Linked DNA regions of Macaca mulatta. The protein of the gene in region 1 purifies or fractionates together with the protein of each later gene. This does not show direct contact. Links are inferred from orthologs where the notes say so. Each region holds a gene or a part of one and is shown on either strand. Other genes may lie near its edges.

Region 1 (14,857 bases):
GCGTGAACCCGGGAGGCGGAGCTTGCAGTGAGCCGAGATCACGCCACTGCACTCCAGCCTGGGCGGCAGAGCGAGACTCCGTCTCAAAAAAAAAAAAAAAAAAGGAATTTTCACACTACATCGGAAGAATCAGGAGGAACTAGCTGAGCAAGAAGGCTCAGGGTTGGGATCCTCAGGCAGCAGGTAGCACTCATACAAAGGTTTTAAATTAGGTGGAATTAGGTTTGGTTGCCTTGGGGAAATGAAAAGATTATATGGCAGGAGTGGGGATCTCAAACTCCTGACCTCGAGTTAGGGACCAGCCTGACCAACATGGTGAAACTCCGTCTCTACTAAAAATACAAAAATTAGCCGTGCGTGGTGGTGGGCCCCATAATCCCAGCTGTTCAGGAGGCTGAGGCAGGAGAATCGCTGGAACCCGGGAGGCGGAGGTTGCAGTGAGCCAAGATCGCACCATTGCACTCCAGCCTGAGAGACAGAGCAAGACTCCCTCTCAAAACAAACACCTGATCTCAAGTGAGCCATCCACCTCAGCCCACCCAAAGTGCTGGGATTTCTAATTTAAATGATAATAACCCTTCCCAGAACTAAGCTGCTTTTGTGAAGCTAATGAAAGGCCATTAGGTTAGGAGGATGAGAGGAACCTGCGTTCTGTGAAGGTCTAGAGGAAGAGTAATACAAAAATTAGCCCTGCGTGGTAGCTCACACCTGTAATCCCAGGTACTAGGGAGGCTGAGGCAGAACTGCTTGAACCCAGAGGATTGCAGTGAGCTGAAATCACGCCACTGCACTCCAGCCTGGATGACACAGCGAGACTTGGTCTCAAAAAATAAATAAATAAATAAGAATAAAAATTAGAGGTAGAGGTGGGCATAGTGGCTCGTGCCTGTAATCCCAGCACTTTGGGAGACCAAGGCGGGTGGATCACGGGGTCAGGAGTCTCAAACTCCTGACCACCGACATGGTGAAACTCCTTCTCTACTAAAAATACAAAAATTAGCTGGGCGTGTTGGCTCACACCTGTAATCCCAACTACTCAGAAGGCTGAGGCAGGGCCGGGCGCGGTGGCGCAAGCCTGTAATCCCAGCTCTTTGGGAGGCCGAGACGGGCGGATCATGAGGTCAGGAGATCCAGACCATCCTGGCTAACAAGGTGAAACCCCGTCTCTACTAAAAAATACAAAAAAAACTAGCCGGGCGAGGTGGCGGGCGCCTGTAGTCCCAGCTACTCAGGAGGCTGAGACAGGAGAATGGCGTGAACCCAGGAGGCGGAGCTTGCAGTGAGCTGAGATGCGGCCACTGCACTCCAGCCTGGGCGACAGAGTGAGACTCCGTCTCAAAAAAAAAAAAAAAAAAAAAGAAGGCTGAGGCAGGAGAATCGCTTGAACCCGGGAAGCGGAGGTTGCTGGTGTGCCGAGATCTGCCATTGCACTCCAGCCTGGGTAACAAGAGTGAAACTCCGTCTAAAAAAAAAAAAAAAAAAAGCCGGAAGTGGTGGTGCACGCCTGTGGTCTCAGCTTCTTGAGAGACTGAGCCAGGAGAATTGTTTTTTGGTTTTTGGGTTTTTTTTTGGTGGGGGGAAGGGGACGGACTCTTGCTCACTGAAAGCTCCGCCTCCCGGGTTCACGCCATTCTCCTGCCTCAGCCTCCTGAGTAGCTGGTACTGCACTCGCCTACCACCATGCCGGGCTAATTTTTTTTTTTTTTTTTTTTTTTTGTATTTTTGGTAGAGATGGGGTTTCACTGTGTTAGCCAGGATAGTCTCGATCTTCTGACCTTGTGATCCACCCACTTCGGCCTCCGAAAGTGTTGGGATTACAGGTGTGAGCCACCGCACCCAGCCAGGAGAATTGTTTTAACCTGGGAGGTGGAGGTTGCAGTGAGCCACGATGTCGCCACGGCACCTCAGCCTGGGCAACAGAGTGAGACTCCATATCAAAAAAAAAAAAAACCAAAAAACAGTATATAGAATAATTACCCTATTATAGCATTTATTTCATGAGCATTGTTTTAAGTTTTAACTCCTTTGAGGCCTTACAATCCCAGAAGGTATGTACAATTGTTAGTCACCTTACAGATAAGGAAACTAGGTCTATGGACACAGGGCTTATCAGTGTGAAATCAGGCTGTGACAGCAATCATATAGGGTAGTTGCAGGAGATTAGAAAATTCCAGGCAGCAGTTTCACATGACCAGAATAGCAACAGCAAACTTGAAATAGCTACAGTAACTGTGGGTTGATAAGATTCCAAAAAACCAGGCTGTAGGCCAAGTAGACTAAGACCGACTAGACCTAATATGGTGCTGGGTCTGACCTCGGTTTCCCGTAGGACCTCATTGTATGTTCATTAACACAGTCACACACCCACCAACATCATGATAGTCCTAGGAACACCCATATTTGGTATAAAGATGGGTGGCACCTCAGTTCTAAGAAATCTCCATCTTTTTCCAGGAATGCTCATGAGTGTTTTACCCCTTGGTTAAAAAAATCCAAAAACGGCCAGCGTCATGGCTCATGCCTGTAATCCCAGCACTTTGGGAGGCCAAGGTGGGTGGATCATGAGGTCAGGAGTTCGAGACCAGCCTGATCAACATAGTGAAACCCTGTCTCTACTAAAAATACAAAAATTAGCCAGGCGTGGTGGCACGCGCCTGTAATCCCAGCTACTCAGGAAACTAAGACAGGAGAATCGCTTGAACCCAGGAGGCAGAGATTGCAGTGAGCCAAGATCGCACCACTGCACTCAGGGCTGGGCGACAGAGCAAGACTCCATCTCAAAAAAAAACAAAACAAAACTATAGGCTGGGCACGGTGGCTCATGCCTGTCATTCAGCATTTTGGGAGGCCAAGGCAGGTGGATCAGGAGGTCAGGAGTTTGAGACCAGCCTGGCCAACATAGTGAAACCATGTCTCTACTAAAAATACAAAAATTAGCCAGGCGTGGTGGCGCGCACCTGTAGTCCCAGCTACTCGGGAGGCTGTGGCAGGAGAATCACTGGAACCCGGGAGGCAGAGGTTGTGGTGAGCTGAGATCGCGCCATTGTACTTCAGCCTGGGCAACAGAGCGAGACTCAGTCTCAAAAAAAAAAAGAAAAAGAAAACTATAAAACCCACCAGCTGTTAGGTTCAAAAGCCTCAGGATGAGTGGAAGCAAATTTGAGGAAAAGCAGTTTATCCCCCAATGAAGTGCTTTGTTTTATGCTATTCTCTTCCCAGCTACCTCGGGGACCTGTGAAAACAGAATGCTGTCCGTTTCTGACACACACACAGACCCTGCTTGCTACAAATCAAAAGGCTTTATTCCTTATACAAACCCACACTTAGAAAAAATAGTTAATAAATTATAGGCAAACCAGTTGGTCTTAGCCACGCCTCCCAAAGAGGTCCAGGGGAGCCGTTGCTGCACCAGGAGAGGGGGAGGATGTGGCAACAGCTTGGCTCAAGGGCGTGGCCTGGACTGGGGACAAAGGGACAGAGGAGGAAGGCAAGGTCTGGGTGAGGGCAGGGATGGGGGCTAAAGGTGGGTTCCTGAGGCGTGCCCAGGCTCTGGCCCGGGCAGCAGGGGTGAGGCAGGGGCTCAGCTCCTCCTGGGCCAGGGCGATACGGCGTGCAAAGCGGCTCCGATCCCGAGCAAGCTGCTCCCAGGGGCCCTGGCGGGCGGCCTGGGCCGGCCCTGCCCAGACAGCCAGAAAATGGACAGTGACCTTCTCGGAGAAGTGCACCTGGGGGCAGACACCGGGACACAGGCAGGAGAGGGACACAGCCACGGGAATCCGGATGGGGAAGAGAGAGAGAGAAGCAAACAAAAATTAGTTATTACACAAAAATGCTTTCTATCTGGCTAGTCACTTGCCTGTCACTGTCATGGGATTTTCCATCTGACTCACTGAAGGCAGAGATGGTTTCCTGGGGTTGCTGTGAGCCACAGCTGCTCCCTCCTCCCCCAGGGGCCTGGCCTCTTACAAGAGATTGCGTGACAGTGTACACAGCCCTCCCCATAGAAATGACACGCAATCCTCTGCAACATACAGGGACCTGGAGTCTCAGCCTCCAGCCCCTTCCTCTCCCAGACTCAAGAATCTGGGCTCTCGGCCAGACGTGGTAGCTCATGCCTGTAATCCCAGCACTTGGGGAGGCTGAGATGGGCAGATCACGTGAGGTCAGGAGTTCAAGACCAGCCTGGCCAACATGGTGAAACCCCCATCTCTACTAAAAATACAAAAAAATTAGCTGGGTGTGGTGTCGTGTGCCTGTTATCCCAGATACTCCAGAGGCTGAGGCACGAGAATTGCTTGAACTCGGGCTGCAGAGGTTGGCAGTGAGCCAAGATCGCGCCACTGCACTCCAGCCTAGGTGACAGTGCAAGACTCAATTTTAAAAAAAAAAAAAAAAGGCCGGGCACGGCGGCTCATGCCTGTAATCCCAGCATTTTGGGAGGCCGAGGTGGGAGGATCATGAGGTCAGGAGATCGAGACCATCTTGGCTAACACGGTGAAACCCCTTCTCTACTAAAAATACAAAAATTAGCCGGGCAAGGTGGCGGGCGCCTGTAGTCCCAGCTACTCGGGAGGCTGAGGCATGAGAATGGCGTAAACCCGGGAGGCGGAGCTTGCAGTGAGCCGTGATGGCGCCACTGCACGCCAGCCTGGGCGACACAGCGAGACTCCGTCTCAAAAAAAAAGAATCTGGGCTCTCAGCACCCACCTTTCTGGCCTTTAGGGGAATCTTGGGGTCCAGATCATGGGTAGGGGTTTCTGGGCGCTTGAGCCGCCTCTGCAGTCGGAGGGGCAGTCTAGGAGGAGTCCAGGGAGGTGGTGGCTTCTCTCCAGGTACATAGATGGCCACTCGGAAGGGGCAGGGCTCAGCTTCTCCCCAGTCCTCAGCAGCTTCCTCTTCCTCTGTCTCCTTTCCAGGTCGGTATACCCAGCCCCTGAAGTGGGCACTCTGGGCCGGGTGGGAGGGATGTGGGTCTGACTCAGCTTCTCCCATGGCTGCTTCTGAATCATCTTCCTTACCCTCACTATCCGCATCCTCATCTTCCTCCTCCTCCGTGTCCTCTCCTGGCCGATACACCCAGGACTTCAAGAAAGCACTTGGAGGGGGTGTGGAAGTGGAAATTTCAGCTTCTCTTTCATCCTCAGCTGATCCTGTATCACTGTCCTCATCTTCCTCCTCCTCCGTGTCCTCTCCTGGCCGATACACCCAGGCCTTCAAGAAAGCACTTGCAGGGGGTGTGGAAGTGGAAATCTCAGCTTCTCTTTCATCCTCAGCTGATCCTGTATCACTGTCCTCATCTTCCTCCTCCTCCGTGTCCTCTCCTGGTCGATACACCCAGGACTTCAAGAAGACACCTGTAGCAGGAGTGGAAGAGGAAGCCTCAGCTTCTCCCTCTTCCTCATCTGATCCAGAGTCACTGTCCTCATCTTCCCCATCTTCCTCTTCCTCCGTGTCCTCTCCAGGCCAATACACCCAGGCCTTCAGGAAGGCACTTGAGGGGGGGATGCAGGGAGGACACTCAGCTTCTCCATCCTTCTCAGCTGCCCCCAAAATCTTGACCTCACCCTCCTCTTCATCACTGGGTTGGCACCACCAGGACTTGAGCTGGGGCCTTTGGGCTGGGGCTGAGGAGTGTGGCCCTGGGGCAGCTTCTCCTTTCCCAGCTTCTTCGTGTGCCTTTTCTTCCTTCTCCTCAGACGCCTCTCCTGAACGATACTCCCAGGCCCTGGGGTTGGAGCCTGAAGATGGGGGGGACACGGAGGTCTTCCTGGCTCCTTTACTTTTTTCTATTCTTCTTTCGTCCTCCGTGGCTTGATTCTCTTCCTCCCCTGGGCAAGACACCCAAGTGCTGGGCTTGGATCCTGGAGACAAGGCAGAAGTAGAGGTTCTGCGAGTTTCTTTCTTTACAGCTTCTTCATCGACCTCTTCCTCCACTGCTGGACAACACTCCCGGTGTGACAGAGGATAAGAGAACTTGTTAACTCCCTCCTCTTCAGCAACTCCCTCTTCCTCAGCTTTCTCCTCCCCTAGGTTCTTATCAGAACCTTGCAGCGTCCTTATCAGAAGGCTGGGAGACAGGGGAGCAGGCTGGCCATCTGCAAATTGACTTCCCTGCCCTCTAGGGACGCTGGTTGCTTCTCGCTCACTATATATGTCATCATAATCATCCAAAAGTCCCCAGGCTTCAGGAAGGGAACTGCTGGTTTTCAGGCCCAGTGTTTCTCTGTTCTCTCCAGGGCCTGCACGGTCTTCAGCCTCCTCATCAAGGCATCTGCCGCAAGGGATATGGGGGGTTGCCAGAGGAGTCCTGGCTTCTCCCTCCAGGCCAGCTTCTACCAGAGCTACTCCTTTTACTGCCTCCACAAGCCAGGGCTCTGGAGGTCCCAGGCCCCTCAGGCGGCTCCAGGCCCGGCTGAGGAGGCCCATCACTGGGGACAGGAGGAAGAAAGGGTGGGCATCCCTCCATGGGGTAGCCTGATGGGGTGCTTGGCCTGGGGCCATGTGTCTGGGCTGGAAAAGGGGGAGGAAAAAAATAAAGTTTAGGGGCCATTTAGGGGATGGCATCCGGGCATGACTATGAGTCATAGCAACAGAAATAGTAACACAACTATTGTCAACAGCAACGCAAGAGTCCCAAATTCCTTTCTGATCTCAGCCACGCCCATCTCTGCCTCTTGGCTCTGTTCTCTCTCATCTCTCAATAGCCAGGAGTCTGAGCCCCTAGTTCTTCCTTAGATCCAAGGGTCCAAGCCCCCAGCCCCCTCTTTCTTCAGACGCAGAAGTCCCAGTCCCAAGAACCAAGAACAAAAGTCTTTTGCTTGCTTCCCTTGGCGACAAAGTCATAGTCCCTCCCTAGCTCTCTCATCCTGCTGAAGATCAAACCCTCACACCCTCCTCCCTTGCAGACTCAAACATTCTGACCCGACCCCCCACTTGCTAGATGATTCCTTCACGGGGACCCAAGAATCTGGCTTCCAGATCCCTCCTCCCTCAGGCTCCGGACTCCAGGGTCCCAATCTCTTCTTCCTAAATCCAGGTCTCCAGCCCCGTGGGGACCCAGGCGTTCCGACCCCTTACTCACCGGTGGGGGGCTGCGCGTCACCCCGGGGGCAGGAGCGCCGGCTCGGTCTGCCAGAAGCGATCACAGGTCCTGACGATTAGGAAGGCCAGCGCGTTCATCTCACCCTCAGGCGTCGGGCTCCAGGGAACTCAGAGTATCTCCGGCTGCCTCAAGCGCAGTGGCGACAAGCGGGCGCGGGGTCCTGCGGCGTCTTGCATACGATCAACAACTTGGACAGGAACCAACACGATGAGCGCAAGCGTAGGCCACGACGCGTTTATATTCTACAGCGCCTGGCGTGCTGACGTCACGGGGAGAGGCGGGGTTTCGAGACCACAGCCCGAAGGGTGGGAAGTGAAAGACTGGACTTCTCGCGGAGATTCCAGCCTTTGTAACGTCTCGGCGGAGTTTCCGAGCGTGACCACGCCCCCCCAACCAGCAAACTGTCAATCAAATGCGTGGTCCTGCTTCAGCAGCGAGCCGGTTCTCTCTTAGCTGAGGGCCAATGCCTTCCCACCCAAATTTATTTATTTGTGTATTTATGTATTTATTTACTTATTTATTTATTTAGGTTCGTTAGTTATTTTGAGGCGAGTTTTGCTCTTGTTGCTCAGGCTGGAATGCAATGACGCTATCTCGGCTCACCGCAACTTCCGCCTCCGGGGTTCAATCTCCTGCCTCAGCATCCCGAGTAGCTGGGATTACAGGCAGGTGCCACCACGCACGGCTAATTTTGTATTTTTTGAGCAGAGATGTAGCTTCTCCATGTTGGTCAGGCTGGTCTGGAACTCCTGACCTCAGGGGATCTGCCCGCCTTGGCCTCCCAAAGTGCTGGGATTACAGGCGTGAGTCACCGCGTCCGACCTATTTATTTATTTATTTATTATTTATTTATGTATTTTTCTGAGACGGGATTTCACCATGTTTGCCAGGCTGGTCTCGAACTCCTTACCTCAGGTGTTCTGCCTGCCTCGGCCTCCCAAAGTGCTGGGATTACAGGCGTGAGTTACCGCCCCAGGCCTATGTATTTATTTATTTTATTATTATTATTATTTTGAGACGGAGTCTCGCTCTGTCACCCAGGCTGGAGTGCAGTGGCCCGATCTTGGCTCACTACAAGCTCTGCCTCCCGGGTTCATGGCATTCTCCTGCCTCAGCCTCCCGAGTAGCTGGGACTACAGGCCCCTGCTACCATGCCTGGCTAACTTTTTGTATTTTTAGTAGAAGCAGGTTTTCACCGTGTTAGCCAGGATGGTCTCAATCTCCTGACCTTGTGATCCGCCCGCCTCGGCCTCCCAAAGTGCTGGGATTACAGGCGTGAGCCACCTCGCCCGGCCTGTTATTTATTTATTTTTTTGAGACAGAGTCTCGCCCTGTCACTGAGGCTGGAATGCAATGGTGCGATCGGCTCACTGCAGCCTCCATCTCCTGGGTTCAAGCAATTCTCCCGCCTCAGCCTCTGAGTAGCTGGGATTACAGGCATGCACTACCACACCTGGCTAATTTTTTGTATACAGACAGGGTTTCGCCATGTTGCCCAGGCTGGTCTTGAACTCCTGAGCTCAGGCAATCTACCCACCTTGGCCTCCCAAAGTGTTGGGATTATAGGCGTGAGCCACTGCACCCGACCTATTTATTTATTTTTTGAGACAGAGTCTCACTTTGTTGCCCAGGCTGGAGTTCAGTGGCGCCATCTCGGCTCACTGCAGCCTCCACCTCCCGGGTTCCAGTGATTCTCCTGCCTCAGCCTCTGGAATAGCTGGGATTACAGGAGTGTGCCGCAATGCCCAGGTAATTTTTGTATTTTTAGTAGAGACAGTGTTTTGCCACGTTGACCAGGCTGGTCTTGAGCTCCTGACCTCAGGTGATCTGCCCGCCTTGGCTTCCCAAAGTGCTGGAATTACAAGCATGATCCACTGTACCTGGTCTCCTACCCCAATTTAGCCCAAAGGCCCAGCCTACAGCCCCCCATTTTCTTTCTTTCTTTCTTTCTTTCTTTCTTTCTTTCTTTCTTTCTTTCTTTCTTTCTTTCTTTCTTTCTCTTTCTTTCTTTCTTTTCTTTCTTTCTTTCTTTCTTTCTTTCTTTCCTTCCTTTCTTTCTTTTCTTTTTCTTTCTTTCTTTCTTTCTTTTTCTTTCTTTCTTTTTCTTTCTGTCTCTCTCTCTTTCTTTCCCCCCTCCTTCCCTCCTTCCTTCCTTCCTTTCTCTCTTTCTCTCTCTCTTTCTTTCTCTCTCTCTCTGTCTCTCTCTCTCTCTTTCTTTTTTTCGAGACGGTGTCTGGCTCTGTCACCCAGGCTGGAGTGCAATGGTGTGATCTTGGCTCATTGCAACCTCCACCTCCCAGGTTCAAGCAATTCTCCTGCCTCAGCCTCCCGAGTAGTTGGGAGTACAAGAGCTCGCCACCATGCACAGCTAGAGTCTCCTATTTTCACAAGCAGTTGGTTTCCTCCCTGAGTGTGAGGGTGTCATTGTTCCCATTTCACAAATGGGGAAACAGGCTTGAAAATGAAACCACTTGACTAAGATAGTCACAGCAGAGTCCAGATTCCTTGCAAATGAGAATGAAGATGTAAGCACTATGAGATCAGGCACTTTGCTAGGCTCAGTGCTTTTAAAAAAATAATAATTAATTTAGGCCAGGTGCGGTGGCTCACGCCTGTAATCCCAGCACTTTGGGAAGCTGAGGCGGGCAGATCACGAGGTCGAGATTGAGATCATCCTGGCCAGCATGGTGAAACCCTGTCTCTACTAAAAATAGAAAAATTAGGCCGGACGCAGTGGCTCATGCCTGTAATCCCAGCACTTTGGGAGGCTGAGGCAGGCGGATCACAGGGTCAGGAGATCGAGACCATCTTGGCTAACCCGGTGAAACTCTGTCTCTACCGAAAATGCAAAAAAAAAAAATTAGCCGGGCGTGGTGGCGGGCGCCTGTAGTCCCAGCTACTTGGGAGGCTGAGGCAGGAGAATGGTGTGAACCTGGGAGTTGGAGCTTGCAGTGAGCCGACATCTTTCCACTGCACTCCAGCCTGGGCAACAGAGCAAGACTCCGTCTCAAAAGGAAAAAAAAATGAGTTGGGCGTGGTCACACGTGCCTGTAGTCCCAGCTACTCAGGAGGCTGAGGCAGGAGAATCACTTGAACCCAGGTGGCGGAGGTTGTAGTGAGCCGAGATCGCGCCACTGCACTCCAGCCTGGCAACAGAGCTAGACTCTGTCTCAAAAAAAAAAAAAATATTCACTTTCTAAATAGAGACAGGGTCTCACTATGATGCCCAGGCTGGTCTTGAGCTCCTGGTCTCAAGTGATCCTCCTGCCTTGGTCTCCCAAAGTGCTGGGATTACAGGCATGAGCCATTGAGCCCGGCCAGGGTTCACTGCTTTCTTCTCAGTGACTGCAACAGACAGTGCCTGCACATAGTAGGTGCTCAACAGATGCATGGTGAATGGTGGTTAAACCAAAAGCTTGGATTCCTTCCTGGTCACAGGCAAAAGGCTCCACTCCTGGGTTTCATCTGCTTCAAGCTTAGGCAATAGCTCTGCCTCCACAAACCACAAGTCTGCCTGGGTGGCACTCTTCATGCGAGTGGGGGCGCTTCTGCTACAAGTTCCAGGCCCGGGGTGACAGTTCCAGCCCCCAGCTCTCCTCCCCTACCTATGGATGCATAATCTTGTTCCTCAAAATATACCAAGGAACCATGTCTCTCTCCTGAGGGAGTTGTCCTCAAGTCTAGAAGAGAATTCTCACCTGGATCTGAGGTGGAGGTTTGGAATTCTCCATTTCACCCTGCCCTACTGGGACCATCCCCTTTTCTCCCTAGGGGACCTGGACAGACTATCCCTGGCCCCTTCCAATCACAGTCATGTTTCCAGACTCCCAGCTCATTCACGACTCAGGAGTCCTGACTCCTAGCTCAGACCTTCTGGGGCACCCAGGTGTCTCGATCCCTAACCCATTCCCTGCAGGGCTTTGGAAGTCTGAGTCCCCACCCCTTGCAACACACAAACCTCCTCCGTGTAGGACACCAGTGGCCCCGGTCCCCAACCACAGCAGCAAACCCACGGGGGCTCTGGAGTGCAGGCCTCAGGTCCAACTCTCCAAACACTGAGAAGCCCCAACCTTGGTCCTTAAGGGACCTAGGAATTGGGGGACCCAAGCCCCTCCCCTCAGCTGTGGGGGCAGCTGAGCCAGGGGTCAGGCTGTAGTGGGGAGGCCAGAAGGGGCGGGGACAGCCGGGATTGGGAGGGGAGAACAGCAGCGTGGGCGGCTGGCAGAGGCAGGGAAAGACCAGCAGAGAGGAAAGAGAAACTGGGAGAGGGAGGAAGGGAGAAAGTGAGAAGGGAAATCGGAAAGAGAAAGGGGAGGAAACGGCAGACGTGGAGAGTCAGAGAGAGAGACAGAAAGAGGAAGAGACTGAGTGTGAAGGAGAGAGGACACGGGATGACAGAGAGAGAGAGAGAGAGAGAGAGAGAGCGCGTGAATGAGATAGAGACTTAAAGAAGAGACCCTGTGAGTCTGTCAATCAAAGATTTGGACAGAAACGGAAAGATTGGAGAGAGAGATAGAGGGAGAGAATGAGTGAGAGAGAAACTGGAAGAGACAGAGATCAGAGAGAGGAGAGACACAGAAAGTGAGACTGGGGAGGGAGATAGTGTAAAACGGAGAGAGAGAGAGAGAGAGAGAGAGAGAGAGAGAGAGAGAGAGACCATAAGAGACGGGAGACAGACAAAAAGTGAGCAGGTGAGGAGAGAGATTGAGAACTATGAGAGACAGCAGCTAAGAGACAAAGGAGGCGGGAGACTGCCTGGGTGCCGCTGCAGCACCCACACCGTCCTCTTGCCCCCTGTCTTTGGGACCCTAGAGCTGGGTAAGTTCCCTGGCTGGGCTGGGAGGGCCTCTCTGGGTGCACATTCCTGCTGCTGCGGGGCTTGGCTTGGGGAGTTGGCAGGGATGCTTTGGGGGCGCATGTGGGAGGGCGGGAGACAGGTAGCCTGGGGCAGCCGGAAGGAGGCAGGGAATAGGGGGTCCTTAAGCTCAGAGAGGGTCAAATTCCTGGCCTGAGTGCAGTGGGGTGGAATAAAGGATTCCCTATTCTCTGGCCTGGGCTGCAGACAGCTGCCCCCTCCCGCAGCTGCCAGGGCCGCCTACCTCTCTTGGCACCACTCTTGGTATGTGGTCACGGGCCATGGCCTCCCCCAGCCCCTCAGTCCCGAAACAACAGGCTCTTTCTCTGCAGCCTCCTCAGACCTCCGAGCCCCTGACCCCATCTCTGTCCCGCACCCGTCACTGCGGAGACACAGCCCCTTTCTTTCTCTCCCCAGCCCTTGATGGAGGGGAGCCGACCTCGAAGCAGCCTGAGCCTGGCCAGCAGCGCCTCTACCATCTCCTCACTCAGCAGCCTGAGCCCCAAGGTTTGAGCTTCCTGGCGGGGATGGGGAGGAAGGTGGGGCTCTGGGCCGCCCATCCCTCTGTTTCCCCAAGGACTCTGGTTGTTAAGGACAAGGATCCTTAGCAACAGGGTCTGCCAGACAGTAAGGTCCCAAATTGCCTACCAGCCGCAGCTAGGAATTCAGAGGCACTCCCAGCTCTGTCCCCACCCTTTGTATTTTCCTAATTCTAAACCAGAGTAACAACCTCCCTTGACCCTGGTTGCTAAGATAAAGCCGCTCCCCAGCCATGAGGCCCCTTGAGTTCTCAGAAGTAGCGGGCTGCTCTTGATTAGTGCTAGAACTTGCTGTCCTATCTCTTGCCATCCAGTCTATCCACTAATGAAATCCTATAAGGAAAGACCCTTCTCTGACGGTGAGACCCAAGGGGCCCCCGGATACTTGCATCCCAAATCGGCATCCCGGCCAAAAGCTTAGGGAGACACTCATTTCTTTTTCCTCCTGCCATTCCACACATGTCCTTTCATGTGTTCGGAGCCCGGAGATCTGACTCAGCCTTGGTCGGTACCACCGCTTCCCAGGAAGGGCATATTGTGGGGACCTGGCTAAGGATGCCTGAGATATCTGTGGGCATCGGGAGACGAGGCTCCATCCGGGCAGGATGGAGGGATTTAAGGCTTCCTCTCCTTGGACTTGGTTGCTAAGGGGTGTGACCGCAGGGCACCAGGGCATCCTTTGATTCACCGGGGACTCAGCGTGAGAGTTCCCCCTGATTATGGGGACCTCCCAGCCCATAGTCCCAGTTCACATCCCAAAAGCCCCTACTACAGCTCTAGCTCTGGTGGCCAAGGGCATCTGCTTCTTGGCAGTGGACCCTTGATCAAGAAATTGCTTCCCTACAGCCTCTTCCTTGCCTCTGAACACCTCCCTCCGCCCATCAAAAAGAGAGTCTCGGCCCGACACAGTGGCTCATGGCTGTAATCCCAGCACTTTAAGAGTCTGAGGCGGGTGGATCACCTGAGGTCAGGAGTTCGAGACCAGCCTGACCAACATGGCGAAACCCTGTCTCTAGTAAAAATACAAAAATTAGCCAGGCGTGGTGGCACGTGCCTGTAATCTCAGCTACTCGGGAGGCTGAGGCAGGAGAATCACTTGAACCTGAGAGGTGGAGGTTGCAGTGAGCCAAGATTGTACCATTGCACTCCATCCTGGCGACAGAGCGAGACTCTGCCTCAAAAGGAAAAAAAAAAAAAAAAAGAGTTTCTCCCAGTCCGGGCAACAAAGTGAGACCCCCTCCTCTACAAAAAGTCAAAAAATTAGCTGGGCATGGTGGTACGTGCCTGTGGTCCCAGCTATACGGGAGGCTGAGGCTGGAGGATCACCTGAGTCCAGGAGGTAATGGTTGCAGTGTTTAGGCCATTGCACTCCAAAGAGGCTGTCTCAAAAAAAAAAAAAAAAAAAAAAAAGAGTCTCTTAACTCTGCAATAAGAACACCTCCCAATTCTGATCTCCAACCTCAGCCCCCACCTTGACCCTTCTCTTTCTTTTTTTTTTTTTTTTTGAGATGGAGTCTCGCTCTGTCGCCCAGGCTGGAGTGCAGTGGTGCGATCTCCGCTCACTGCAAGCTCTGCCTCCCGGGTTCTCACCATTCTCCTGCCTCAGCCTCCCGAGTAGCTGGGGCTACAGGCGCCTGCCACCATGCCTGGCTAACTTTTTTGTATTTTTAGTAGAGACGGGGTTTCACCGTGTTAGCCAGGATGGTCTTGATCTGCTGACCTCATGATCTGCCCGTCTTGGCCTCCCAAAGTGTTGGGATTACACGCGTGAGCCAGTGTGCCCGGACTTACTTTTTTTTTTTTTTTTTATGACAGAGTCTTACTCTGTCACCAAGGCTGGAGTACAGTGGAACAATCTCAGCTCACTGCAACCTCTGCTTCCTGTGTTCAAGAGATTCTTGTGCCTCGGCCTCCCAAGTAGCCGGGACTATGAGCACACGCCACTGTGCCTGGCTAATTTTCATATTTTTAGTAGAAACGGGGTTTCACCATGTTGGCCAGGCTGGTCTCGAACTCCTGGCCTCATGTGATCCTCCCACCTCAGCCCCTCAAAATGCTGTGAGCCACTGCGCCCGGCTGGTCCTTGACCCATTTCTCAGGGCAGCCAAGCGAGAGCCTACGGTTGCCTGTGTCCACCCTCACCGCCTCTCAGGACCATCCTAGGCTCTCCCTGTTCACTTCTGTTTTTATTTATTTATTTATTTATTTATTATTTTTTATTTTTTATTTTTTTATTTTTTTTTTGGAGACGGAGTCTCGCTCTGTCGCCCAGGCCGGAGTGCAGTGGCCAGATCTCAGCTCACTGCAAGCTCCGCCTCCCGGGTTCACGCCATTCTCTTGCCTCAGCCTCCCAAGTAGCTG
Region 2 (14,691 bases), on another chromosome or scaffold:
CTCTGACCTACTTTTCCCCCTAGTTCCTTGTGACTCCTGACTAAAACTGGTGCTTCCCCATGTGGCCCTGCATGGCATATTAGGCCCCCTTCTCTCAGGCAATATAAGTAGTAAAAGTTTTCAAGGACATTGGCCTGTGTCATCACTCAGTCACCTCTGTAGATTACAATCCCACAGGCACAAATAAGACAAACAGTTAAATGTATTTTTAAAGAAACTAAGAAGGGCAAAAATAGTCTTTTACATTTACCTATGTATTTTCCATGTCAGGTCATCACATCTCTTCAGTTTAAAGAACTTCCTTTACCTCTCTCTTTTTTTTCTTTTCTTTTTTTTTGAGAAAAGGTCTGGTTCTATCGCCCAGGCTGGAGTGCAGTGGCATGATCTTGGCTCACTGCAGCCTCCGCCTCCTGGACTCAAACCATCCTCCTACCTCAGCATCCCGAGTAGCTGGGACTACAGGGCGCACCACCATGCCCAGCTAATTTTTGTATTTCCTGTAGAGACGAGGTTTTGCCACTGCCCCAGCTGGTCTTGAATTTGTGAGTTCAGGTAACATGCCCACCTTGGCCTCCCAAAGTGCTGGGATTACAGGTGCAAGCCACCATGCCACGTCTTTAGTTTCTATTTACCTAAAAATGTCTTCATTTTGACTTTCATTGTTGAGTATTACCTTTAGATACACAATTCTGGTTTGAGTGCTTTAAAGATATCATTCAATGCTCTGGCCTCCATTATTTCTAGTATGAACACCATAGTAATTTGTATCACTGTTCTTCTGTAGGTAATACATCCTTTTCCTTGGGCTACTTTCAAGATTTTTCTCTTCACCTTTTTTCTTCAGTATTAATAGTCTGATGTACCTGGATATGATCTTAATAACATTTATCATGCTTAAGAGTTGTGGAGCTTCTTCAATTTGTAAATTTGTGTTTTTCTCCAACAAATAAGGGAAACTGTTAGCCATTATTTCTTCAAATCCATTTTCTGTTCTCTCTCCTCTTTCATTTCATATACATACATACATATATATATATATATATTTTTTTTTTTTTTTTCTTTTTTTTTTGAGACAAGAGTCTCACTCTGTTGCCCAAGCGGGAGTGCAATGGCGCAATCTCAGCTCACTGCAACCTCCGCCTCCCAGGTTCAAGCGATTCTCCTGCCTCACACTCCCAGGTAGCTGGGATTACAGGTGCATGCCACCACACCCGGCTAATTTTTTTACTTTTGATAGAGATGGGTTTTTGCCATGTCGGCCAGGCTGGTCTTGAACTCTTGATCTCAAGTGATCCACCCGCCTTGGCCTCCCAAAGTACTGTGCTGGGATTACAGGCATGAGCCACCGTGCCTGGCCTTAGAATTTATATTTAGTCATGCACTGCATAATGATATTTTGTTGAACACTGAACTGCATATACAATGGTGGTTCCATAAGACTATAATGGAGTTGCAAAATTCCTATTGCCTAGTGATGTAGCGCATTTAGTTTTTATCAATTTAGTGTTACTTAAGTGTACAGTGTTTCTAAAGTCTACAGTAGTGTAATGTCCTAGGCCTTCACACCTGCTCATCATTTACTCACTAACTCACCCAGAGCAACTTTCAGTCCTGCAAACTCCATTCACGGTATGTGCCCTATATAGGTATACTATTTTTTTATCTTTTCTACTGTATTTTTACTGTACCCTTTGTGTATTCTGTGTTTAGATACACAAATACCTTTGTGTCAACTGCCAACAGTATTCAATACAGTAACAGGCTGTACAGGTTTGTAGCTTAGGAGCAATAGGCTATACCATATAGCCTAGGTGTGTAGTAGGCTACACATCTAGGTTTAAGTAGACTCTATGAAGCTTGCACAACAAAATTGCCTAATGATACGTTATCTCAGAATGTATTCGTGTCATTAAGTGACACTTGGCTGTGGTTCTTTGTGGAAGTTTCTATTTTCTCTGAGATTTCACTTTGTACATTCTTTTTTTTTTTTGAGACAGAGTCTCACTCTGTTGCCCAGGCTGGAGTGCAGTGGCGCGATCTCGGCTCACTGTAAGCTCTGCCTCCCGGGTTCCTGCCATTCTCCAAGTAGCCGGGACTACAGGCGCCCGCCACCACGCCTGGCTAATTTTTTGTATTTTTAGTAGAGACGGGGTTTCACCGTGTTAGCCAGGATGGTCTTGATCTCCTGACCTCGTGATCCGCCCGCCTCGGCCTCCCACAGTGCTGGGATTACAGGCGTGAGTCACCGTGCCCGGCCTTGTTCATTCTTTACAAGCATATTTCCTTAATGTGCTTGAGCAGTTTATAATGTCTGCCTTAAAATCCATGTCTAGTAGTCCCAACCCCTGGATCATCTCTGGGTCAGTCTCCATTGGTTGCTTTTCTCTTCTGTATGAGTCATATTTTCCTATTTATTTGTATAGTTAGCAATTTTGCATTGTATCCTGGACCTGTGGCAAAGACTCTGGATTCCTGTATGTTCCTCTTCAGAATAGATTTTGGCTGGGGGTGGTGGCTCATGCCTGTAATCTCAGCACTTTGGGAGGTCAAGGCGGGTAGAACACAAGGTCAGGAGATCAAGACCATCCTGGCCAACATGGTAAAACCCCATCTCTACCAAAAACAAAAAAATTAACTGCGCATGCTGGTGCGTGCCTGTAGTCCCAGCAACTCCGGAGGCTAAGGCAGGAGAATCACTTGAACCAGGGAGTCGGAGGTTGCGGTGAGCTGAGATCGCACCACCGCACTCTAGTCTGGCGACACAGCGGGACTCCATCCCCTACCCTTCTCCCCCCTCAAAAAAAAAGATTACAGATTTTTTGTTTTAGCAGGCAGTCAGCATCTGAACTCAAAACTATACGCTCTGTCTCCCCAGATGGTAAGCAACTGAAATCTGTTCAGATTTTTTCCTTATTAGGCTACTTGGAGTTCACCCTGTGTTTCAGTAGTTCGGGGATAAACCAGAGATTTGGGAAGAATTTATACACAGACTTAGGGGCTCTCCCCTTGTGCCTGCCTCCTTTCTCTAACCCTCACCACTACCACCACCAGTTTCCATCTACTATGGTTGTCAAGAACTCTCGCCTCCAGTTCTAAAGCCAATAAGACCATAAGTTTTCCGCCAGAACCTTAAATGCCCAGCTTGAAGCTGTCTTCAACATGTACTTAGGTAAAAAAAAAAAAAAAGGTGTAAAACAGAAAACATATCCTTTTTTTTTTTTTTTTTTTTTTTTTTTTGTTGAGACGGAGTCTCGCTCTGTCACCCAGGCCGGATCTCAGCTCACTGCAAGTTCCGCCTCCCGGGTTTACGCCATTCTCCTGCCTCAGTCTCCCGAGTAGCTGGGACTACAGGTGCCCGCCACCGTGCCCGGCTAGTTTTTTTGTATTTTTAGTAGAGATGGGGTTTCACCATGTTAGCCAGGATGGTCTCGATCTCCTGACCTTGTGATCCGCCCGTCTCAGCCTCCCAAAGTGCTGGGATTACAGGCTTGACCCACCATGCCCGGCCAACATATCCTTTCTTGTAAGTGTCGACTCACCTTCAAATTTTCAAGTTTGGCCTGCTTTTGGCTGCTTCTCATTGTCTTTAGGTAGTTATTTTTCATACTTGTTCAGGGTTTATGGCATTTACGTCGAAAGGCTTATCTAGCAGGACCTAATTCTCTAGTAAAATGAATTATCTCTACAGGCTGTTTTGCACTTTGCTCTTTTCCTCATCCTATCGTAGAGATCTTCCATATCAGAATACAGAATATTCAGATCTCATTCTGCATAAAATTGCATTGCATGCATTTGTACTGATTTATTTAACCAGTCCCCATTTTGGTCATTTCCTGGTTTTAGTTAATGCCATACAAACAAATGCTATGGAAATAGCTTTACATGTATCTACTGTATGTAAGCAAGTATGCCATTCCATATTTTTTCTGATTGCAACTAAAAACATATTTGATTCCTCCTTTTGTATATATTTCATACAATAGAAAAAGAAGGCTGAGCACAGTGGCTCACACCTGTAATCCCAGTACTTTGTGAGGCCAAGGCAGGAGGATCACTTGAGCCCAGTTCAAGACTAGCCTGGGCAACATAGTGAGACCCCATCTCTACAAAGAAAGTTAGCTGGGCAGGGTGGCACATGCATATAGTTCCAGCTACTTGGGAGGACTGCTTGAGGAACACTTGAACAGAGTTCAAGGCTGCAGCGACCTATGATCACACTACTACACTGCAGCCTGGGTGACAGAGCAAGATCCCAACTCTTAAAAAAAAAAAAAAAAAAAAAACCGAAGTACAAGATTAGACACTATTTTACGTACTACTAGGACAGTGATGTGAAGACTTACGTAAGTTTAACAAATAGTCTCAAAGTAGTTTAATAATTTTGGGTGGGGCTATAGCTAAGTCACAGCAAAACATTTAAAACAATCCATGTGCTAAGTAGCAGTCACTACCTAAGGCATAAGATAACCTCAAAATTTATGTATCATCTAAGGCTATAATAATAATAAAAAAAAAGTCAGTATGTATAAAATTAATCACTTGCAGAAGTGAGAAAGTATCAGTAAACTAGACAGCTAAGGAGATTCAGAAGGATAAGTTGAATCAAGGTGACTGATATGCAGCCCTTCAGACATGATAGTAACTAATGACCTAAAACTAACACCTAACAAATTAAAGTAAGATGGCTGAAATTAAAACCTACTTAATGGTATTGTATACCATGTTTTAAAAAACAGTATTCACAAAGGTGATGATTTACATGGGGTCCAGAAAAGGAATCCAATAAGTAAAAAATGGATAGTCATTCAAAACTGTCTGAAAGATACCACAGGATTTGGTAGACACAAACATTCTAATTACCAGCAAGATATACAATGTTAGATTTCAGGTGTGTATATACACACATAGTATATTGCTTCTTCAAGGCTTATATAAAAGATTCGTAAAACCCATCTGCCCCATTTTCATGCTTACCCAAAGATCTCATTACTACTTTAGCTTTAAATCAAGAAAAAAGGCATCCAACATATTCAGATCTACCAATGTAAATGAACTAGTACTCTCTTTAAGTTTAGTTACCATGATTCAATTACCAAAATCCTGATAAACACTAGAAATAAAATTCAAGTTATTTGATCCATAAAATCCTAGGATGTACTAATTAAACTACTATTAACTTAAGAGATCTTGTTTAAATAGCTAATTGACATGGTTTTCTAACCACTTTGTATGTAAGAGGTTTAAGTATAAAAAGAGCTTTTTTTCCCTAAGCTGCCGCATGCAATTTACAAAAAATGTATTTTTAAACCATTTTAAATCTGAAATTTATATTACAGATATTTTTCTCACTTACCTTTTTCTTTGTCCACCCTAATGACAACCACACACTCATTCCTGCCAATTCGGATGAGTTTGTTGATAGAACGGATACGCCTTCTGGATAATTCACTAAGAAGAATCATGCCTTCAATGTTGTTGTATTCCAGCAAGCTGACATAAGCCCCCATTTCAGCAATGGATCTGACATTCACCATCACTACATCTTCCACCTCAGGAAATTTGTGTTGATAAAATCTACAACTTAGACCCGGCATTCTGCAATTTAAACAAAAGAATTAAATAAGTGTTCAGTTAAGATGAAAAAAAAAAAATCAATTTCCACATCTTGCCACTGAAAGAAAAGATGAAGAAAAAAATAGTTATTAGTCTTAGTCTTCTCATCCTTTGAAACTTAAGTGGTACCAGAAAACAGATAATGTTCAGGAACCAAGCTTTAATTTTTACTTTGCTCAACATTTTTGTAATGCTTGGGTGATTCTCTGCCATTAGTTTCAGAGGAATCATAAAAAATAATGACCATCTATAAAGTACTCCAAGACCTAAGGATTAAAGGAATACCTCAAGAGTAAAATACTACTTTAAGGCATATCAAATGATGGGAAGCATCACTATTATAACTAATCAGAAAACTAAAGCTACTCTTCGCTGAAGTTAGCAAACATTGTATATGCTACCACTCACTATATAAAGGAAAGATTTTCTACCTAAATCTTAACCAATATACCATATGATATATTGTCATTTATTATAGCCCAAATTAGCGTCACATGTCAAAGCAACAAAAACTAAAAAAATCTTAATCACAAAATAAACTAAAATTCATCCTCCTCCTCTCATAATTTTTTTTCCTTGAATTCACAATGTCTAGCTTCTCTTATCCCCAATACTCCCAAATATTCCTTTCTTTTATTGAATAGGTATACTTAATCTTGAGAATAGCTTTAATCTCCATTACTACAAAGTTAAAGTTTCTCTTAACCTCCAAGCATTAAAGATATTTACAATTATTCCCTTTGATCCACCCAACCTACTTTCAGCACTACTCCTTCTATGATCCACAAGCCTGAAATCATAATCTGGGTAGAAGCACATTTAAAAAGGAAGCTCTCAAACTAATCATGGCTGATGATTTCCATGTTTTTCTGTTAACCTTCACTGTTGTCACTGCTCAAAACTTAAGTAGTAACATAACTTAAAGGCCTAAGAAAACTTTGTGAAAATTAATTTAATAACTTATTAATTGGCACCTGCCTATATCTTCCCAGTGGCTTGCTACTGACTTATATATGTTTTCACTACCTACAGAATCCTATATGATCTGGTCACTGCCTATCTCCTTGTGGTACAACTTTCTCCCTAGTTCTCCCCATTTTCTAGATTAAAAAAGTGAAGCACAGGTTAAGTTACTTGTTCTTTCACATACTGCTAACAAGTGATGAGTCAGGATTTGAATCCAGGAAGTTTGGATCCAGAGTCTGTCCTCTTTTTTTTTTTTGAGACAGAGTCTGGCTCTGTCGCCCAGGCTGGAGTGCAGTGGCCTGATCTCAGCTCACTGAAAGCTCTGCCTCTCGAGTTTATGCCATTCTCTTGCCTCAGCCTCTGGAGTAGCTGGGACTACAGGCGCCCGCCACCACGCCCGGCTAGTTTTTTGTATTTTTAGCAGAGATGGGGTTTCGCCGTGTTAGCCAGGATGGTCTCGACCTCCTGACCTCGTGATCTGCCTGTCTCGGCCCCCCAAAGTGCTGGGATTACAGGCTTGAGCTACCGCACCCGGCCCAGAGTCTGTCCTCTTTATCAGTAAGACTATATTCTCTCAAAACTATTCATAAACATATTACAATTAGAAACATTTTACTTTAAAAGCAACATGAATATATATATATATATATATTCAGTGCTAGAGTATGTGACACCAATAAGTGCAAACTATTAGTACTCATTGGTTTAACAACAAAAAGCAGCATATTAATGACAGTAGCAGAGATGTATTTCTTTGTAGGGAATACAAAATCCCTACAAAATAGGGATTTAGCAAACAAAGATAAGTAGACATTCAATGGCCAGAACTACCCACCAAGAAACAGCTGACTGGTTGTTTCATTTTTAAACAGGGCTTTTCAGGGGTGGGGGTGGGGGTGGTGGGGAAACTGTTGTTGAATATGTGCATGTAAAGTTCTCAAATTTGAGAGCTAAAAAGTTTCAAATTGGGCATCAAAATAAACTATGTTACAGAAATGTACGGAACAGTTTTAAGACATTTAACAGGTGAAAACCATATTTACTTACCAAGTTTCTCCAAATAGTAAAGGTGACGCTTTTAGGGGAAGCAAGGCTTAATCTGATGGTTAAAAAACACGGGCAATCGTGTAAAAGAATCCTGAAGGGATATGACTATGAATACTATTTCTTCAGGAGGCACAAGTCTCTTTGCAACATAAAGGGTAAGTAAAGGAATACTGTTGATGGTTAAGTTATTCATAGCAAAGACAGGAAGTTAAGTACAAAAAGAATCCATACCACAAAAACCTGCATATTGGTTGATAAACTTTCAACATACTGCCTAATGAAATGCTAATAACTTATTATTTTTTTTTTACTTAAAAAAACATTTGGCAATATCGAAGTCACACTAGGTGACTTCATCTCTTTATCTTTTTCACAGCATTCTGACTTATTTTATTTGGTCCTCAAGAAGTGTCAACAAGACTCTTACCAGGCCAGGCGCGGTGGCTCACACCTGTAATCCCAGCACTTTGGGAGGCTGAGGTGGGTGGATCACCTGAGGCCAGGAGTTTGAGGCCAGCCTGGTCAACATGGTGAAACCCCATTTCTACTAAAAATACAAAAATTAGCTGGGTGTGGTGGTAGGCACCTGTAATCCCACTACTATGGTGGCTGAGGCAGGAGAATCCCTTGAACCCAGGGGCAGAGGCTACAGTGAGCTGAGATCGTGCCACTACACTCCAGCCTGGGCAACAGAGGCTCTGTCTCAAAAAAAAAAAAAAAAAAAAAAAAAAGACTCTTACCTAAGTTAAGTATAGAGTGGGAAACAAACTAGCAAGCAAATGATTACAATATGAAGTACTATGAAAGGAGCACAGTGAAGCAATGAACAGAAAAAGGAGGAACAGAAATACTAAATTATAATACTTTCTTAAGATAATCGACATCAAATCCAGAATGTCTTTAACCCACAGAACCTCAATATCACAACACATTATAATACTCTTATGTGTTCTGATGTAAAAGTATCAGCCACCTTTCAAAATATATCAACCAAACTCCGGGCTAATTTCAAATACCCTGGCTAGTCAGTTATTTTGCAGGACAAATGGTAGGTAGAACTTCTTTCTCAAAACAGTGCATGGTCAAACTGCTATAATGGATATAGAAGTTCACATTCCTTTCCAAAATACATGTGATGGGGACAACTCTCGTGATAATTCTAATTTGGATCTAACACGTATTAGGAATGCTCTCTGAATGGTAGTTCTTGGTATAGGAGTGCTACATAAGTAAAGCTTTTATTTCATCATTATAGTTGAAAAAGAAAGTTATCACCAAATCTCTATAAACATTACTGTGCATGAGACAACTACATCTTTTGGCACCAGATGAACTGAGAATAGGTAGTAAAGTTCGGTATAAGTCATCCCCAAACTACTGACCCAGAGATTTTTCCTTGAATAACAACTCAATTGAGAGAAAATATACACTTCTCTGCTATACTTTTTCTCGAAAAAACCATGTCTTTTGCTTAATAAAAATTTTAAAAGCCTAAATTTTGTGGATAAAGAGACCCAGGGATGACTGTGTATTTAACCCGAAAATATTTCCTTATCTTAGGTTTTCTGTTATGCTTAGCATAGTTAACCTAACATATGCTTAACACAGTTCTATTCTCATTGTCGCCAACATAAAACAAACTGATAGTAACAGTAATAAACTCAAGTCTCATTTAGTTTTGATTCAAAGGGTGACTCATTCAATTATCAGATGAAAAACTACTCGGACCCCGCTCTTTCCAACACGGTGCCCGTCCCACACGTTTCTCAGGTAAGAGTCCAGTTTGGTTTCCACTGAGAAGCAGGGGGAAATTTCGGTAGAACTGTTGGGGCGGAAGAAAAGATGGAATTCTCAGACCTGGAAAAAGCAAACTGCTCAGCGTCCTGAGCTGGGGGTAAGAGTTAGGGTGTCACGACGTTCTCCCGAGGCCGCCCCATCGTCAAGGCATTCTCACTTTCGGCATATTGTAGAGGCTGTACAATCCACTCGGCCCACTTTCCTTTACGAGATTCCTCTGCTGGAACAACGACGCCTCTGGAACACAGGATGACCTACACGGAGCCGGCGACGAGGCCCACGACAGCGCGGGTGGCGGCGGTGCTGTCCAGCCACTTCCCGCGCAGGGACGGGAAAGGGAGGTGTTAGCCCGGGGCCTACCCGCTCTCGAACACCCATGTCACTGGACACAAACCAAAGTGAGTTCTTGGAGAAACCGAGCTTGGGATTAGTCACCTGAGGTATGTGTGTGATTCCCGCAGTGGAGACCACAGCCGCCTTCTTTAATCAGAGAGACCAGACTTGCTTCTCCCTCACCGGCCGCCGATCCTCCTCAGCGTGCGCTTCGGTCACCCGACTGCGCATGCGGAACCTCCTCGTATTGCGCAAGCGTTGAACGAATAGAGACCCCTCTTCATCATTAACCATAGAGTCTGGGTCCTCCGAGAACAAGGACGAATGTAGATCATGGAAGGACCCGAAAAGTACGGTTTCTCGCTATCTTAGCTTTAGCTAAGTAACATTCAAGGCGCGAGAAAGACATAGGACTCTGATTCCTTGCCCCTGAAGAATGTATCCTCGTTCACAGTTTCAGCTAACCATGAGATGGCGCTGTGACCAGAGACGACAGGTGGAGAGAAACAAGGCGTGCACGCTTCGCTCCTAGTCTTTGGCCTGGCACGTGCCGCGTATTGCGCAGCCTCAGGGAAGCTGGATGGGGAGGGGTTGGGAGGCGAACCGGAATTGAGGGATGGTTCCGCGGTGCGCGCGCCTAGACATCCGGGCAACGCCTCTGTTCTGTCCTCCCCCTTCCTCCTCTTGACAACCGGAAGCGGAAGTGAAAATGGGTGTCCCTGCTGCTTCTTAGCAACGAGAGGGGGTCAAGTGACACAACCAGCTGACTCCTGTAGAGGAAGTCACTGTGGAGGCCAGTTCTGGAGCTGTTGTAGCCTCGGTTGCCCGGCCGGGGACCCGAGCCGAACAGTTATCGTCAGAATGTCGGGCAAAGACCGAATTGAAATCTTTCCCTCGAGAATGTAAGTAAAGGAATGGGATGAGCCGCTTTCACAGGGTTAGGAACCCAGAGCGCGATCCCTTCAGACCCTGGGCCACAGTGAGGGTCCTTGTTTCTTGAGCTTTTCCCAGGCTCTTTTCTTGAGTCTAGGGCGAAGCTTCGTGACGGCCTCTTCGCACATTCCTCCTGAGTGAATCAGGCTGGATGAAGCGATCCCAGCGGGTAGGAAAAGGCGCCCGGCCGGCGGGCTTTTGTGGAGGCCCGCTGTCTTTATTCATTAATGGATTCATCCATTCCACATACCCTTACTGAGCCGGGCACTGGATTTATATAACTGAACCGTCGCCACCTCTGCCCTCACAGAGCTCACAGTTTATGTAGCCAGACATTCGTCTGGAAAGGCCAAGGAGGTTTTAATAAATGCTCTGAGAAGGGACGTTTACTGAGGATATAGAAGAGGTCCCTAAGCCAAAGTGGGGATGGAATCGAATCGCCTTAGCATAGTCCTCGGATTCGATCTTGGATCCCCTTACTCATTTTCCAAGATCCCACCAAATGTCACCGGCTGTGAGAGGATATCCCTGTGTTTCTGAGGCACAGCTTTTGCTCTCTCACCGCTGCACCTTGTTAAGACCTGTGTTAATACCAGTCATCACATTGTAAAGTAGATATTTGTTTATGTGTCTTTCTCTCCCACTAGACTGTGGGCTCTCTCCAGGAGGAAAGAATGTCTTAACAATCCATAGAAGGTCCACAAAAAAATATTTCTTGAAAGAACTCATGCTTGGGAATACGCTCAGTTGTGGGCTACCTTTCTTTTGGGGCCTGAATTCTTTGTCAGGAAAGTGGCATATCACTGTAGGTTTTTGGCTAGTTTGTAAAGAAAATTTTGACGTTTTCTCAAATGTGCCCAACAACTCGCTCCCTTTCTCCTCCTCATCCTGTTTATTTTTATTTATTTAGTTTGTTGTTTGTTTTAATAAGAGACAGGGTCTCGCTCTGTCTCCCAGGCTGAAGTGCAGTGGTGTGATCATAGCTCACTGCAGCCTCAAACTCCTGGGCTCAAGCGATCCTCCCGCCTCAGCCTCCCTGGCGGCTGGGATTATAGGTGGGAGCCACCGCGCCTGGCTTTCCCTTTTTCTTTACAGTGAGGAAGCAGAAAATCAGTTTTAACCCTGACATTTAGATCCTTTTATTGTGGTCCTATCTCTGTGGGGGTGTTTTGTTGTTTTTCCTCTTTCTGTCCTTTCTCTGAGAGAATCTGAGGACGCTTAAAATAAAAGTCACATTCAAACCTGAAGCCCAGATTTGTCTCTGCCAGGGTGACTACATAGCTCTTAATGAAATGAAGTTTTTAAATTTTTTACCTTCACCTATTGACTTTCTAATAGCTGTTCGCACTAAGTAGGCAGCAAGCTAGTTGTGGGGAAATAAAGATGGGGACTATCCCGGGTTAGTGGCAACTGCAGAACTCCTAGCACGTGATGACTCAGTCAAAACTTACGCACTGAGAGACACCGACGCTAGTTTATCTTCTAGCAGCGTAAAACCTGCCCCAAGGGTGACCCCAGCCCCCCCCCATTAAAATGCCTGCCTGAAAAAGCTCAAAGCTAGGAGGAGAATTTACTGTTTGTTCTAGTCAACACCTAATTGACCTGTCCTTCCTTTTTTAGAGCATTTACGAAAAACAGGCTTACAATTGTGAATATGTTATCTCTTCCAACTCTGGTGTCCCTTCAAGTATCTTAGAGAGCCATTTCTTTGAAATGTAATCATCAGGAGGGATAGGGCCTTTGTCTCCCAGTCTGTGTGGGAGGATAGAACAATAACTTACTAATTGCCAGGTAGCATTGCGTTTACACTGACCAACCCTTTAAGTTTCTCTTCTCTGACTCTACTTGTGGCTGGCTTCCTGCCACTCCCTTACTTTCTTTTTAAAATGGACAGTCACTCTGCACAAACCAGAATTGAGCTCAGCTCTTTCCCCTGCTATCAGTGGTTTACTGAATAAAATCTGTTTTCATTGCTTTAACGAATGTCTGGCTGTGTTTATCTTTGACAGCAGTCAGAATAACTTTTTGTTTTTACTTTGGAACTTTTACTTTGAGACTAAGAGGCAAAAATAGACGTCTTTGGGCTTAGGTAAGAAAAATAATAGGCTCATGAAGGTGAAAACTACTATTTGAAAGCTCTCAGCTTGCTGATTGAGAGGAAAATCAGGTGCAGGAAATAATCTCTAAATATTTTCCCCATGGCTGGCAGCAGGCTTTTTGTCATGTAGTCAGATGTCTTTGATTCAGCTGGAAGAAAAGTCATCATCCTAGCTAAAGGTCAAACTGTTTGAGTAGGACTGAGCAGCTCTGAAACAAAGGAGCAAGTTTTAAAAGCCATAGGCTAGAAAACATTGGCAGCCTGTTTCACAGACAGTTCCTTTCAACAACAGTATTATTCTGTGATGTTACTTTCACCCACTTTGGTACCACAGAAAGCAAAACAATTTTAGAGTGGAAGTAGAAGACGCATGAAAAATTTGGAGTCAACAGAAGTCCATTAAATCCAGGTTCTGCTACATATTAGCTGTCAGTGTGCAAGCTGCCCTTAGAGTTTCAGGAATTAAAATTGCCCATTTCACAGAGATACCATTCCCTAGGAGGAAATTAAAATTAACATGGTAAATTCAATTTTATCAACCAGTTTACCTTTTACTATAAACTGACTGCTATATGCAGTACTACAATTTGACTTAAATTTGATCCAGCTCTTTGAGCCCGAGTTCTAGTATTTACTGTCAACAATACAGTATGTTAAATGCACACATTGGGCTGGATAGCTCCTGCTCAGGCTGGAAACTAAACCAGCTTCACTTGATAAGATCTCTTGTGAGGCCAGTCAGTGCAGAGTGAGCCAGTGATAATTGTTGTCTTTAAGGGGAGGCACACGGTTGGGGTACAGTGAACCTAGGTTGGAGCCTTAGTTTGAGCATTGGGAAAGTCAGTGGAATCAAAAGTCTGGTTCAGGTTCCTGCCCTGCCTTTTCTTCACTAAGTAACTTTGAGAAAGTTGTTTTACTTTTCTAAGCCTCATTTTTCTAATCTTTAAGTTAATGTCTAAAGTCCCTTTCAGCTATAGAATTGTCTTAGTGATCTTAGCCCTATGGTAAAAGATTCCAGTATAATCTAAGAATTTGGCCAAATGGGGTGTGTGTGTGTGTGTGTGTGTGTGTGTGTGTGTGTGTTGTTGTTGTTGTTTTGAGACAGGATTTCACTCTGTCACCCAGGCTGGAGTGCAGTGACTTGATCTTGGCTTGCTGCAACCTCTGCCTGCCGGGTTCAAGTGATTTTTGTGCCTCAGACTCCCAAGTAGCCGGGACCACAGGGATGCGGCACCATACCCGGCTAATTTTTGTATTTGTTTGGTAGAGATGGGGTTTCACTGTGTTGGCCAGGCTGGTCTCAAACTCCTGACCTCAAGTTATCCACCTGCCTCGGCCTCCCAAAGTGTTGGTATTATAGGTGTGAGCCACTGCACCTGGTTTATTAGTACATGCGATTTTAAAACACCAGTCGTATGAAAATATATCCCCTTAAATCACTTTGTCTAGGTTAGGTTATACTGTGTCTAGGTTATACAATCTGTTGTTGAATTTTATTACCCAAACACTTGTTTTTTTGAGACCGAGTCTTGCTCTGTTGTCCAGGCTACAGTGCAGTGGCATGATCAGAGCTCACTGCAGCCTAGACCTTCTGGGCTCAATCAGTCCTCTCACCTCAGTCTTCTTTGTATCTGGGACTACAGGTGTGCCCTACCATGCCCAGGTAATTTTGGTATTTTTTTTTTGTAGAGACAGGTTTCACCATGTTGCCCAGGCTGGCCTTGAACTCCTGGACTCAAGCAATCTACCCACCTCAGCCTCCCAAAGTGCTGATTACAGGCATAAGCCACTGTACCGCTTACCTTATTTAGAGCATTCTTCCTAAGGTCCTCCAGGTACTTTTCATTAGCTCTTTTTCCTGCCTGAAATATTCTTTCCCCAGAACTTATAAATTGCTCCTTTGG

Evidence for each region.
Region 2: the proteins of PPP1R15A (region 1) and EIF2S1 purify together in Homo sapiens (affinity purification with western blotting; 4 studies listed by BioGRID and IntAct, with this or other methods). This does not show direct contact. The link is inferred for Macaca mulatta from reciprocal best matches to the Homo sapiens genes PPP1R15A and EIF2S1.

What each region holds. Positions count from the first base shown.
Region 1 is NC_133424.1:61,322,699-61,337,555, reverse strand, and holds PPP1R15A (protein phosphatase 1 regulatory subunit 15A), read right to left. Parts: upstream 7,316-14,857; 5' UTR 7,082-7,315; intron 6,511-7,081; 5' UTR 6,502-6,510; coding exon 4,708-6,501; intron 3,726-4,707; coding exon 3,366-3,725; coding exon of another isoform or gene 3,337-3,365; 3' UTR 3,285-3,336; downstream 1-3,284. Other genes in the region: PLEKHA4 (pleckstrin homology domain-containing family A member 4), read left to right, coding at 12,381-12,464. UniProt on the Homo sapiens protein: Recruits the serine/threonine-protein phosphatase PPP1CA to prevents excessive phosphorylation of the translation initiation factor eIF-2A/EIF2S1, thereby reversing the shut-off of protein synthesis initiated by stress-inducible kinases and facilitating recovery of cells from stress.
Region 2 is NC_133412.1:140,521,671-140,536,361, reverse strand, and holds the start of EIF2S1 (eukaryotic translation initiation factor 2 subunit 1), read right to left. Parts: upstream 9,954-14,691; 5' UTR 9,859-9,953; exon of another isoform or gene 8,643-9,858; intron 6,864-8,642; exon of another isoform or gene 5,596-6,863; 5' UTR 5,595-5,595; coding exon 5,354-5,594; intron 1-5,353. Other genes in the region: ATP6V1D (V-type proton ATPase subunit D), read left to right, coding at 10,618-10,658. UniProt on the Homo sapiens protein: Member of the eIF2 complex that functions in the early steps of protein synthesis by forming a ternary complex with GTP and initiator tRNA. This complex binds to a 40S ribosomal subunit, followed by mRNA binding to form a 43S pre-initiation complex (43S PIC).